Caenorhabditis elegans: one gene and its partners. The protein of the gene in region 2 interacts with the protein of the main gene of each other region in a biochemical or structural test. Each region holds a gene or a part of one and is shown on either strand. Other genes may lie near its edges.

The links.
Region 1: of the proteins of ubc-9 (region 2) and smo-1, one has a biochemical effect on the other in vitro, tested with the Caenorhabditis elegans proteins (one study listed by BioGRID).
Region 3: of the proteins of ubc-9 (region 2) and sop-2, one has a biochemical effect on the other in vitro, tested with the Caenorhabditis elegans proteins (one study listed by BioGRID).

Annotation. Positions count from the first base shown.
Region 1 is NC_003279.8:1,338,544-1,341,786, reverse strand, and holds smo-1 (Small ubiquitin-related modifier), read right to left. Parts: upstream 1,110-3,243; 5' UTR 1,085-1,109; coding exon 1,019-1,084; intron 963-1,018; coding exon 862-962; intron 812-861; coding exon 703-811; 3' UTR 522-702; downstream 1-521. Other genes in the region: K12C11.1 (Xaa-Pro dipeptidase), read left to right, coding at 151-432; K12C11.7 (Copper transport protein), read right to left, coding at 2,077-2,156, 2,221-2,357, 2,417-2,511, 2,792-2,980. UniProt on the Caenorhabditis elegans protein: Ubiquitin-like protein which can be covalently attached to target lysines as a monomer. Does not seem to be involved in protein degradation and may function as an antagonist of ubiquitin in the degradation process.
Region 2 is NC_003282.8:4,648,928-4,652,682, forward strand, and holds ubc-9 (SUMO-conjugating enzyme UBC9), read left to right. Parts: upstream 1-2,116; 5' UTR 2,117-2,131; coding exon 2,132-2,185; intron 2,186-2,310; coding exon 2,311-2,433; intron 2,434-2,567; coding exon 2,568-2,658; intron 2,659-2,703; coding exon 2,704-2,857; intron 2,858-2,913; coding exon 2,914-2,992; 3' UTR 2,993-3,520; downstream 3,521-3,755. Other genes in the region: F29B9.8 (Serpentine Receptor, class T), read left to right, coding at 1-125, 174-312, 358-569; F29B9.7 (Pheromone-regulated membrane protein 10), read left to right, coding at 837-877, 927-1,073, 1,140-1,217, 1,267-1,350, 1,452-1,565, 1,613-1,676; F29B9.5 (Thioredoxin domain-containing protein), read left to right, coding at 3,532-3,612, 3,662-3,727. UniProt on the Caenorhabditis elegans protein: Accepts the ubiquitin-like protein smo-1 from the aos-1-uba-2 E1 complex and catalyzes its covalent attachment to other proteins with the help of an E3 ligase such as gei-17.
Region 3 is NC_003280.10:12,337,811-12,341,565, reverse strand, and holds the start of sop-2 (Polycomb protein sop-2), read right to left. Parts: upstream 1,623-3,755; 5' UTR 1,621-1,622; coding exon 1,531-1,620; intron 1,195-1,530; coding exon 1,128-1,194; intron 911-1,127; coding exon 415-910; intron 1-414. Other genes in the region: sre-52 (Serpentine Receptor, class E (epsilon)), read right to left, coding at 3,473-3,665, 3,716-3,755. UniProt on the Caenorhabditis elegans protein: Polycomb group (PcG) protein. PcG proteins act by forming multiprotein complexes, which are required to maintain the transcriptionally repressive state of homeotic genes throughout development.

The DNA of each region.
Region 1 (3,243 bases), on a different chromosome or scaffold from region 2:
AAAAATCGATAATTTTTTGAGTTTTGAGCTGTTAAAGCATGCAAAATGCCGAAATTTTATCGAAAAGTAGAAAAATTAGCCCCGCGGAGCTGGAAAATCCAGAAAACCTCAATTTTTCCGAATTTTCACGTAAAAATCGATATCTTCCAGGCAATCACCATCGAACCCGGCTGCTATTTCATTGATTTCCTGCTCAACGAGGCGCTCGCCGACCCGAAAAAGAGCGAATTCCTCGTCAAATCCGAAATCGACAAGTACCGCGGATCAGGCGGCGTCCGTATCGAGGATGACGTCATCATTCGTGCTTCTGGTAACGAGAATCTGAGCGATCTTCCACGAACCGTCGAGGAGATCGAGAACTTCATGGCTAGTGGAGGCGAATGGACGGAGAAGGTCATCGAATCTCGTGTCTCTGATTTCTTGTCCAAGTGATTTTTTGTCTACTGATTCTAATTTATCATCATTCCTACTACTATTACTGTGTTATTTTTTCATGTAAAATAAAATTTAATTTTTAAAAATTTGGGATTTTCCGAAAACGAAGAGTTTATTTGTAAGATAAATAAGTTATTTTAAACTTTTTTGGTTGTATAATATGATTCGAAATGTGGAAAATAGATTAAATGAGACAGAGAAACCGAGTATCTCAGTGGAAAAGGGATGGATGGGTGTTTGTTTTCGGATTAGAGTGTAGGTAGAGGACTAGAATCCGCCCAGCTGCTCTTGGTAGACCTCGATGACGTCATCGTCCTCCATCTCGAGCGTCTTCGGTGTGTCATCGTCGTTGATGCGACGTCCGTCGAAGAGGAAACTGCAAATATTTAAAGTTGATAGGAATTGGCGCGGATTTCCAAAACTCACCGAAGACTGTTGACGGCGACACCGGTTCTGTCAGCGTACGACTTCTTCAGCTTGGCCATAGAGGTTCCATACTTTACACGGAAGTGCACTTCGTTGCTGTCCTGCAATTTTTTTGGGAATTATTAACAAATTCGCGGCGAATTTCCAGTCAAATTACCTGTCCAACGACCTTGATCTTGATGTATTCGGCGTTGTCGCCTGCTTGAGCTGCATCATCGGCCATCGTTTATAGCGGGAGTCTCTGAAACGAAATTAGATTTGAAAAGAGAAAAAGAGATAGAAGGAGAGAGGTAGAGTTGCTATGGAGAATGCAACTCACACGAGTGAAAGGTATTAAGAGTGCAGAATGATGACTTTCTAGGGTATTTATATAGACGCTGTAACAAATAAAATCGATAATTACAGAACAGCTGGCTGAGCCACAAGATGCTTGAAAAATTAGGAATATCGATTGTCTGGGGAGCGCTGCGCTGAGAATTTCAAGAATATCACTGCGAAATTCAGAAAAAAAACCCATTTTTCTCAAGGAAATCCTTTTTTTTAGGATATCCAGTTCCTATCAAGTTTTCTACGTGGTTTTTCAGCGAAATTGACGAAATTTAGAAGCAAAACTTAATTAAACGCATCGCGACCGGAGAAAGAAGGCAAAAATAAATGAAAACACACGAAATGAGCCGAAAAATCGGGCAATACGCGCCTAAAAACCTTTTCGAAATGATTTCCCGCGTTGCAGAGTGTGCATGTTCACGCCGCGGTGTTTGCACACAATGCACCGCATTTCACGAGCAACACGAGGGTACGGTAGATTTTGGACAGGTTTTTGACCAAATTTGGTGCTTTTTGGACTGAAAAAATAAGAGATTTCGGCCTAAAATAGATAAATTGGTGAATTATTTGAGTTTTCAACGAAAAAAATGTTTTGAACAAGTTTTCGGAACAAAATTCAAGGTTTTCGCTTGGTTTTTGAGGAAAAACTCTAAAAATACCGTTTTCCAATATGTAACAAGGCAAACTGGATTTTAAAATATAATTTTAAGCTAAAAACTACAAAAACAATTGTTAATGAGCATTTTAGGCCAAAAAGCGATCGATTTAATTCGCGCGGTATCGTCAGGTCTCATCGTGAAATTGCAAGCGCGCTCTAATGTGAATATCGATTTTTCTTTATTAAAAATATATTCAAATTTAATGCTTTATACATATTTATGAAATCAATTAAGAACAGCAATTTCCAGTGTTTTCGACCTCCTTAACCGTCATCAACGGGCCAACGAAGAAATATCCGATGGCGTGGCCTAAAATTTACGAATTTTAAGCTTTTCTTCTAAAAATTCAAAAAAAAAAAAAAATAAATAAAACCTGCTAAAAGCGAGAAAAATAGCGGATAATTATATGTCATTGCTACCAGCATCAACGAATAATCCACAAAATTTTGAAGAAAAAATAGAAAAGAAGACGCAAAATGTCTCCAACTTGAGATGGATTCCATTGTAAATCTGCAATTTATCACCTTTTTTCGGAATTTCGTATCCTGGAATATTTTAAGCCAACTCACGGAGCCAACGATGCCAGTTTGCCACGTGGCGACGGCTCAGGCTCTTCCGGAATCTCCCAAATGCCTTCAGGCGTTGAGCAACAGCAATCGACGGCCTACAATTTTTTTTTTGGAATTCAGGAATTCCCGAAAAATAAAACACGGGTTTCTGGCTTCCCTCATAATTTGAAATGGAAGAGTTTTTGCCGAATTAGGCCATTTTGGCTCGGCCATATCTGGCGGCGCGTAGCGGCTCAATTTTAGTTGAAAAACTAAATGTGATTTGTCCGTGTGGAGTACACGACTTTCCCGTCCGGCAGGCGATTGTCAATGGAGCGCGAAAAATTCAATGAGGAAGGCCAGAACCCCCGTGATAAAATTTTAACAAAAAATCACCAATTTTTCCTTCACAGTTCTCGTCATTCTTTGCCTTCCGAATTTCAGCAATTCCAGGCAAAACGCGATGAAAAATAGGGAAATACAGGAGAAAACGTAGCCTGTGGTGTCTGTGGGCTTCCACTGACGGAAAAGGATGGGCTCTTGGATTCGAAAATGGAAATACATTTGCATCATGTCCATCATCATGGCTGCAGATTACTGGAATATCTGAAAATGCGGAAAATTTGGGGAAAAATATTTAAATCGATAGTTTTCCAATTTTTTCGGATATTTTACTCGATTCCTGTTAAATTACGAGTAACACGGATTTCTGGCTTCCCTCATAATTTAAAATGGAAGAGTTTTTGCCGAACTAGGCCATTTTGGCTCGGCCATCTGGGGTAGATTTACGGCGCGTTGCGTGTCGCGTCGCGGCTCGTTTTCCGTTTTTAAAACTGATGTATTTGTTC
Region 2 (3,755 bases):
TTACCGCCTTTGACACTCTCATCTCGATCTACCAAATTCCACAATGGGCTTATCTCAGCATCATTTCCAGCATCAGACTCACTGCGTGTATTGTCTCCTTCGGCATCGTCACCCAGATGTTCGCTGTGAGTTTCAGATGTCTTTCAGTACTAGAAGCATAGAATTGATTTCAGAGTCTCTTCTTATTCTGCAGAAGAAAGGACGAGGTGACGAAGACTTCTCCATATGAGCACGTGAGAAACAGCAAACTCCGTTTGTTCTTGTTCCTATTATTCAGTATCTGTGTTCATGTGCTTACGGCTCCTTATCTCAGTAAGTAACAGTTAGCAGACCTAGTGAAACCTTAGATCCTTTCAGTCTGGTCCGGATTGACCATCGCTTTTGACGTCGGTCAGCTTCTCGGCTTCAACTGGTACCTCCCAATGCACTTTGCTTCCGAGATGTTCCCACTTCATCTGACCTTCTTCTTGCTCAGACCCTTTATCTTCCTAATTCTGGCTCTGATCCTCCTCAACCCATACCGCCGTCGTTTTGTCAAATTCTTCTTCCCGTGTTGTAGAAGACATTAGGAACGATCTTTTATTTTTTTTCTGTAATTATTGCTTCCAACTCTTCTTTTTTGCGCCATAATTCTAAACCCCTGTGCCATTGGGCGCCCCCTCAGAAGCCCGGTGCTCCTTCGTTTTTTCTTTGTTTTGTTTTTTTTCAAATCGGAAATATCGCTCTCTCAGAAATTGTGATAAATAGTACACGTTTTACACGTTCCATATGTGCCTTGCCTTACAATTAAAAAATGAATAAATTTTTTTCAAATTTAAATCATTCTTATTTTTACGATGAGTTCGAAAAGTGGTGTTATAGAGTTTCCGGAAGACAAGTGAGTTTTTAATTTTTATTTATAAATTTAAATTTTTGACTCTTTGAAGCAAATTTGTGCATACAAATATGGCTGATTACACTACGGAATTGCTTGATGGTAGTGAGTCAACTACAAAGAGTACAGCAACAGACGAACCACCTAATCAATTGTTTTTGTCATCGTTGCTTTTCTTGAGCTCTGCGATTTGTTCTCTGTGAGCTCACTAGCTATTTTCTACAATTAAACAATAATGGAAAACCAAAATAAAATTTTATTCCAGATTCGCAGCTTCAATTCTAGTTCGTAGTTTTCCATTTTTCGGTTCTACTCTCTCTTTGGTGATCATTCTAGTAACTAGGTTGGCTTTGTTCATCAAGAAAAATAGATCTAATTGGAACATTTTCTAGAGAATGGAATAGGATATACGGTGGACTTTTGAGTCCAAATCTGAAAGCAACAATCAACTATTCGACCGTTATGAGAGATCACAGGTACATCTGAATTCTAGAAAATCACCTATTGTATATATATCCTATATATAGGCATATATTTTGACACTTAAAATAATTAAATTTCCAACTTTCTAATTCAGAGAATACATTCCGTTATACGACATGGACTGGTTGTTCGGAGGAAGATACAAGCCGTACTATTATGGATGCACGGGACCTTCGAACAATCCGGACATGGAGAGAACGCCTGATGAGTGAGAAAAAAGTTTTTTATTTTTTGAAAACGTTATCATTTTTGCAGCCCCGGAAGTCGTTCGCCGACGAAAGAGCGCAAGGAAGGAGAGGTTTTGAAGAAGGATGACTGACTGGGCACTCTCATTCTCACACATTTTGCCGCGAATAAATATTATTTGAATTTCGCGCCCTTCGAATTTATAATTTTCTTGAATATTCTTTTGTGTGCGCGCGAAAACTGCGAACCGTTTTGTAATTTTCTGTTGCATTCTGTCGAAATTAGTTTTCGTGTGCGACACCATTGCGAAATCGCGCGCCGCACTATGCAATTTATTGATCGATAATACGGGCGGTGCTCGCCCCCCTTTTCGTTTTTTGGCGCGATATCCTATTTTTGAACTTTTTCGAGAAATTTCTCTTTCTTATCGATCGGATTTCTGTTTGAAAAATCTAAAATAGTTCTGACAAGTGTCACGAACACGCTGTTTCGTTTGTTTACCTCTCTCTTCTTTTCTCGTTGTGCCTAAAACTTCACTGTCCACTTCTCTTTTACAAATTTGATATTTTTCAGTGTAACCGAACAAAAATGTCGGGAATTGCTGCAGGACGCCTCGCGGAAGAAAGGAAACACTGGCGAAAGGTGAGAATTTTATCATTACATGGCAAGTCGGGGCGATTTGTATTACAAAACCGCTTTAAATCGGTTAAATTCTAAAAATTATCGAAAAATAGTTTGTTTTCATGCCCAAAACTCAACATTTTCAGGATCATCCATTCGGATTCATTGCCAAACCAGTCAAGAACGCCGACGGAACATTGAACCTCTTCAATTGGGAATGTGCAATCCCAGGGAGAAAGGATACGATTTGGGAAGGCGGATTATACAGAGTATGTGAAGCTAGAATTCGGAAATTATCATTTTTCGTTAATTTATTGAGCTATAATATTCGTGAACTGTTTCTCTCAAAAACTGCTATTTGGAATACAACGATATTTATAAATCTAATTCAATTTTCTTTCAGATTCGGATGCTCTTCAAGGACGATTTCCCGTCAACGCCACCAAAGTGCAAGTTCGAGCCACCACTCTTCCATCCAAATGTGTACCCATCAGGTTATTATTGCAGTCCAATAGTTATAATTAATTAATTGAATTCAGGTACCGTGTGCTTATCTCTTCTGGATGAAAACAAGGATTGGAAGCCGTCAATCTCAATCAAGCAACTTCTCATTGGAATTCAAGATTTGCTGAACCATCCAAATATTGAAGATCCAGCTCAGGCTGAAGCCTATCAGATCTACTGTCAGAATAGGTGAGTTTTTTTTATCTGAATATTATAAAAAAAATACACAAATGAATTTATTACAGGGCTGAATATGAGAAGCGAGTGAAGAAGGAAGCTGTGAAGTATGCTGCCGAACTCGTCCAGAAGCAAATGCTCGAGTAGATGCTTGCTTCGTGGTAGTCGTCTATTCTATTCTCCTTTTTCCTCCCATCCTCATTTCATTTAGTTAACTATTTCTGTATGCGGCAACGATTGTTGACACAACTCGAAATTCGAGCACCGAAGCAACTTTTCTGATATCTTTTATTTCAATCTAACCAAAAGCTTTGTCGTGCCTGGTTTTTCATTTCGTGGTTGATGAAATTCGAGAGCTAGAACATTTCGATGACTTTTTCCAAATTTCGTGTGCACGCAAACCCAATCATTTTCCACTGGTCCATGGGCTGAGTAGTCTTTATTCTTTCAAAAGACTATTCCTCATCATTCTTACTCATTTTGATCTTCATCTTTCTTTTTATCCCGTTCTGTTTTCCATCTCTTTTCTCTTCCCCCCAATTCTCTTAAAATCAGGAGCACAATTTAATTGTTGACAAATCCCGTGTATTCCAATTTTCTAAATGGACTTGATTATATTTTTTTTCCCTCAACTTATTTGTATTTTGCAACTCAACCATGAACTGTTCATGTCAGATTCTCCAACAATGTCCGAATTCATGAAAGGTGTGATGCTTCTGAAGCAAGACTTGACTGAAGTTCCTGCCGAAGAAGCTCTGAAGGGCAAGGTGGCGAAATATTAGTGTGTAGTGAAAGATTTTAGAATATGACATTTAGGTTGTTGCTCTTTATTTTTCCGCGGGATGGTGTCCACCGTGTAAGCAGTTCACTCCGAAGCTAGTTGTGAGTGCTGAATCTAGATTTTCCGATT
Region 3 (3,755 bases), on a different chromosome or scaffold from region 2:
ACATATTTTTGAGCAAAAAATTCCTACATTTTTTGTAGATCAAACCGTAATGAGACCACGGAAAAGACTGATATGATCAAAATCTGGAAGCCAGGCCATATGATAGTTGTGCGAAATATCGCACTTTTTTCCCTTCCGCCATGACTCAGATATTGCTTATTGTCCGTTTCATATTGCAATATTGAGTTTTGTTATCATTAACAATCATCCCACGACATTCTTTAATATCTATTTTTTTTCTTAGTTCAAGAATTCTAAACGCCTGAAAACGGCCTGAAAAACGGCCTGAACGTAGCTTTATGCGTATAAAAAACCACCCACAAATTGGTTAAATGTATGCGCTTTTTGGGCTTTTTGCTTTTGGGAATAATATATTTGCTAATTAATTTTTTGTTCTGAAGCTCTAGTGCCTACCTTTGCAGATTTCTCATAGCTCCTAGATCAATCGGAAGTTCCTGATCCTCATCAGATCCATCATAGAACACCGGCTCGACTTCCCCTTCTTCCATCTCTCGAGAAGCTTGCTCCAAAATGCTCGTCACCCGCTTCTCCACATGATCCGGCTCGTCGGCCATCGGGTCAGCAGTCCTTTGCAATTGCTCATCACGATCGAATATCGTATCATAACGTCCCCGGTTGAGATAGTATTGGAGCTTTGAGCTGACTGGTAGTGGGACAACCTTCTCGTGGAGCATCTCCTCCTCGGCAGTGTTGAGCACTTTGATGATGGAGTTGGTCGGCTCGAACGTTTGGCGGGAGCACACGGCTTTTTCGAATTTATGAGCAAAAATGTCGGCGGACAGGCGTACCGCTTCGTAGAACTGAGATCGGGGGTCTTTGCCCTCTAGCTTTTTGTCGAGTTTTGCATAATATTGAGCTTCTTTTGGTAAGCTGCTTGATGAGCATTGATCTGAAAAATTATTATTTTCACTAATTGTAAGCAAGTTTCAAAAATTGAAGGTCTAGTAGAGCTTTAAAAAACTACAAAATTTTGGTAAATTTCCGAGAAATTCGGAAATTGGGGTTTTTTGAAAATTGGCAATTTGCCAAAACGGAGTTTATATTATAACTTGAGCACCAAAATTGCAATTATTAATTTTTCTATAATATATTTGAAAAATACTCACCTTCCAATGCATTTTCAACTTCGTGCTTTTCCGGTCGAACCACTTGAGATGTCGATCGTCGAGTGGACTGAAAGTTTTAAAACTATTGTAACTTATTGGGACGGTTAGCTATCAAAAAATTGTCAACTAATAAAATGTAGATAAATTTTGGTACTCCAAAGTGTTAGTTAACAATTTTTCCATATCTCTATTTTCCGGCAAGTTAGAGGGTTTTGAAGTTGATAATTACTAAATTTGTTTCTTTTTTTTTAACCCCTATATCTCATTGGAAAATAACTGGGCAACATTTGATAAAATATAAAAAATAGTTTAAAAAAATATTGAGCTGGGTATAAATCATTTGTTTTGTGTAAAAGTAGTGGAGAAACGATTATTTTTATTTTTAAAAATTTGTAAACTATACCTTATCCCTTTCATTTCCCTTCACAGCCTCCGGGGGCTCTACAATTGCAGATGTTGATGACATCTCATTACTGGTCAAGTTTGAACTCATTTCTTTTGAAAAAATTAATTTAAATGTATGTTGCAGTGAAATTCAATAAAACAATCTCCCGCTGAGAGGGGAGCGTCAAGATTCGTGATGGAGCGCGATTGCTCGTATAGTGGGGGGGGGGGGGGGGGGTGTATGGTACTTGGGATTTTGTTTCAAAAATGATTACACAAGGAAAATAAATTTTTAAATAAGTAGAGGTAGATTTTTTACACAAAAAAATCAATAAAATTCTGGAAATGTTTCTTTTCTAAAAAAAAAACTGTCAATTCAACTTTCAGACACTCCAAAAAGTTATGCCCGATCTTCACAATAAAAACTCGTATCTCACAGAAATTCGCAGAAAACTTTTAGATACCGGTAGCCTAAATTTGAAAAGAAAACTAAATTTTAACCAAAATGGTTTTAAAATAAAATTTTAAATACTTTAATTTTCACATTATATTTTCGATCAAAACACTAAAATAATTTTAAAAAAATAAAAAACGAAAACAGCAAACAAAAAAGTGCGAGTGACCAAATCAATCAATGCGAGTCGCAGTGGAGAGTGTGTGATGCGCGCACGCTCACCCCCACTCAAACTCACAGTCACACCTCCCCGACCCTCTTCTTTCACCACAGTGTCTCGTCGACTCGAACGATGATTGGTTTACGGGCGGGGCAATTGGGCAAAAGAGTGAGGAGATGATGGGGAATTGTATGACGACGAAGAATTATGTGGAGAGAGGAAGATTGAAGGGGAATAGTGCAAGAGAAGTTAAGCCCTGATTAGATATAAAAAGAGGATGGCTTATGGATATATGTATATGTATAAGGATTAAAAAAATACATTCCAATTATTTTGTGTATTATATAATTATATGTGTTTATAACAATCATCACCATAACTTATAGCAGATTATTCAATTTTTGGAGGTATAAACCAGGGAAAGGCGGCAATTGCCGTTCGGCAAATATTTCGTCGACAAATTCGGCAAATTGCCGGTTTGCAGATTTGCCGGTAATGTTCAAATCCGGCAATGTGCCGATTTGCCGGAAATTTTTATTTTCAGCAAAGTGCCGGTTTGCAGATTTGCCGGTAATGTTCAAATCCGGCAATTCGCCGATTTGCCGGAAATTTTTATTTTCAGCAAAGTGCCGGTTTGCAGATTTGCCGGAAATATTCAAATCCGGCAATCTGCCGGTTTGCCGGTTTGCCGGATGTTTTCATTTCGGTAAATTGCCGATTTGCCAGAAGTCTTCAATTTCGGCAATTTGCCCATTTGCCGTTTTCCGGTTATCAATTTGTCGGAAATGTTTAGAGGAATTTTATGTAAGACGGAAACCCTTAAAACTGTGCCTTTGTGAAATGTTTTCCCGTTTTCTTTAGATATTTTCATAGAATTGTCTACTTCTAAAAATAGATGTATGAGCATTCCTAGGATGAGTGCAATTTTTCCGATCAAATTTGAAATTTTTAAATTTCCAAAAAAAAATGTGCAAACCCACAATTTGCCGAAAATTTACAGCAAAGTCGGCAAATCGGCAATTAGCCGGTTTGCCGATTTGCCGGAAATTTTCAATTCCGGTAATTTGCCGATCTGCTGATTTGCCGGAAAAAATCTTTCGCGGCCCACCCCTGTATAGATGCCAAGGCTTTTAAAATCACAAGTTTCCGGGGGACACCAGTAACGTAGGAAAAATAATGTTTCATATTCTTTTTTTCATAAACTTTCGATAAAAATAGGGACTTTATAATTTTTCAATTTTTATTTTCAGACGGTTATTTCATGTAAGATTGAAAATATTGTTGAAATTTGCACTCAAAAAACTAAAAATTTTCAATTAAGTTCAAAATATTTATTATCAAAAAATCTCAATTCTTCAACTCCCACGTGTTCTGCAACTGATTAAAATAGAAATCGGTTTCCTGTGCCACATTCTGCCCGGATAACGAAACCGGACGTTGGCTCTTCAGAGCAATGCAATCAACTTTCCGGAAGAACGGGATTGCCTTGCTCCACGGGCTCACTGAGAGTATTAACACTGGGCAGACTATCAGGGGATTGCTGAAATTTTAAGATTTATAAGCAGTTTCCTTTGTTTGGAGGATACTTACAGATGCACCAAATTTTGAAAACAGAAGACGAATAACGTGC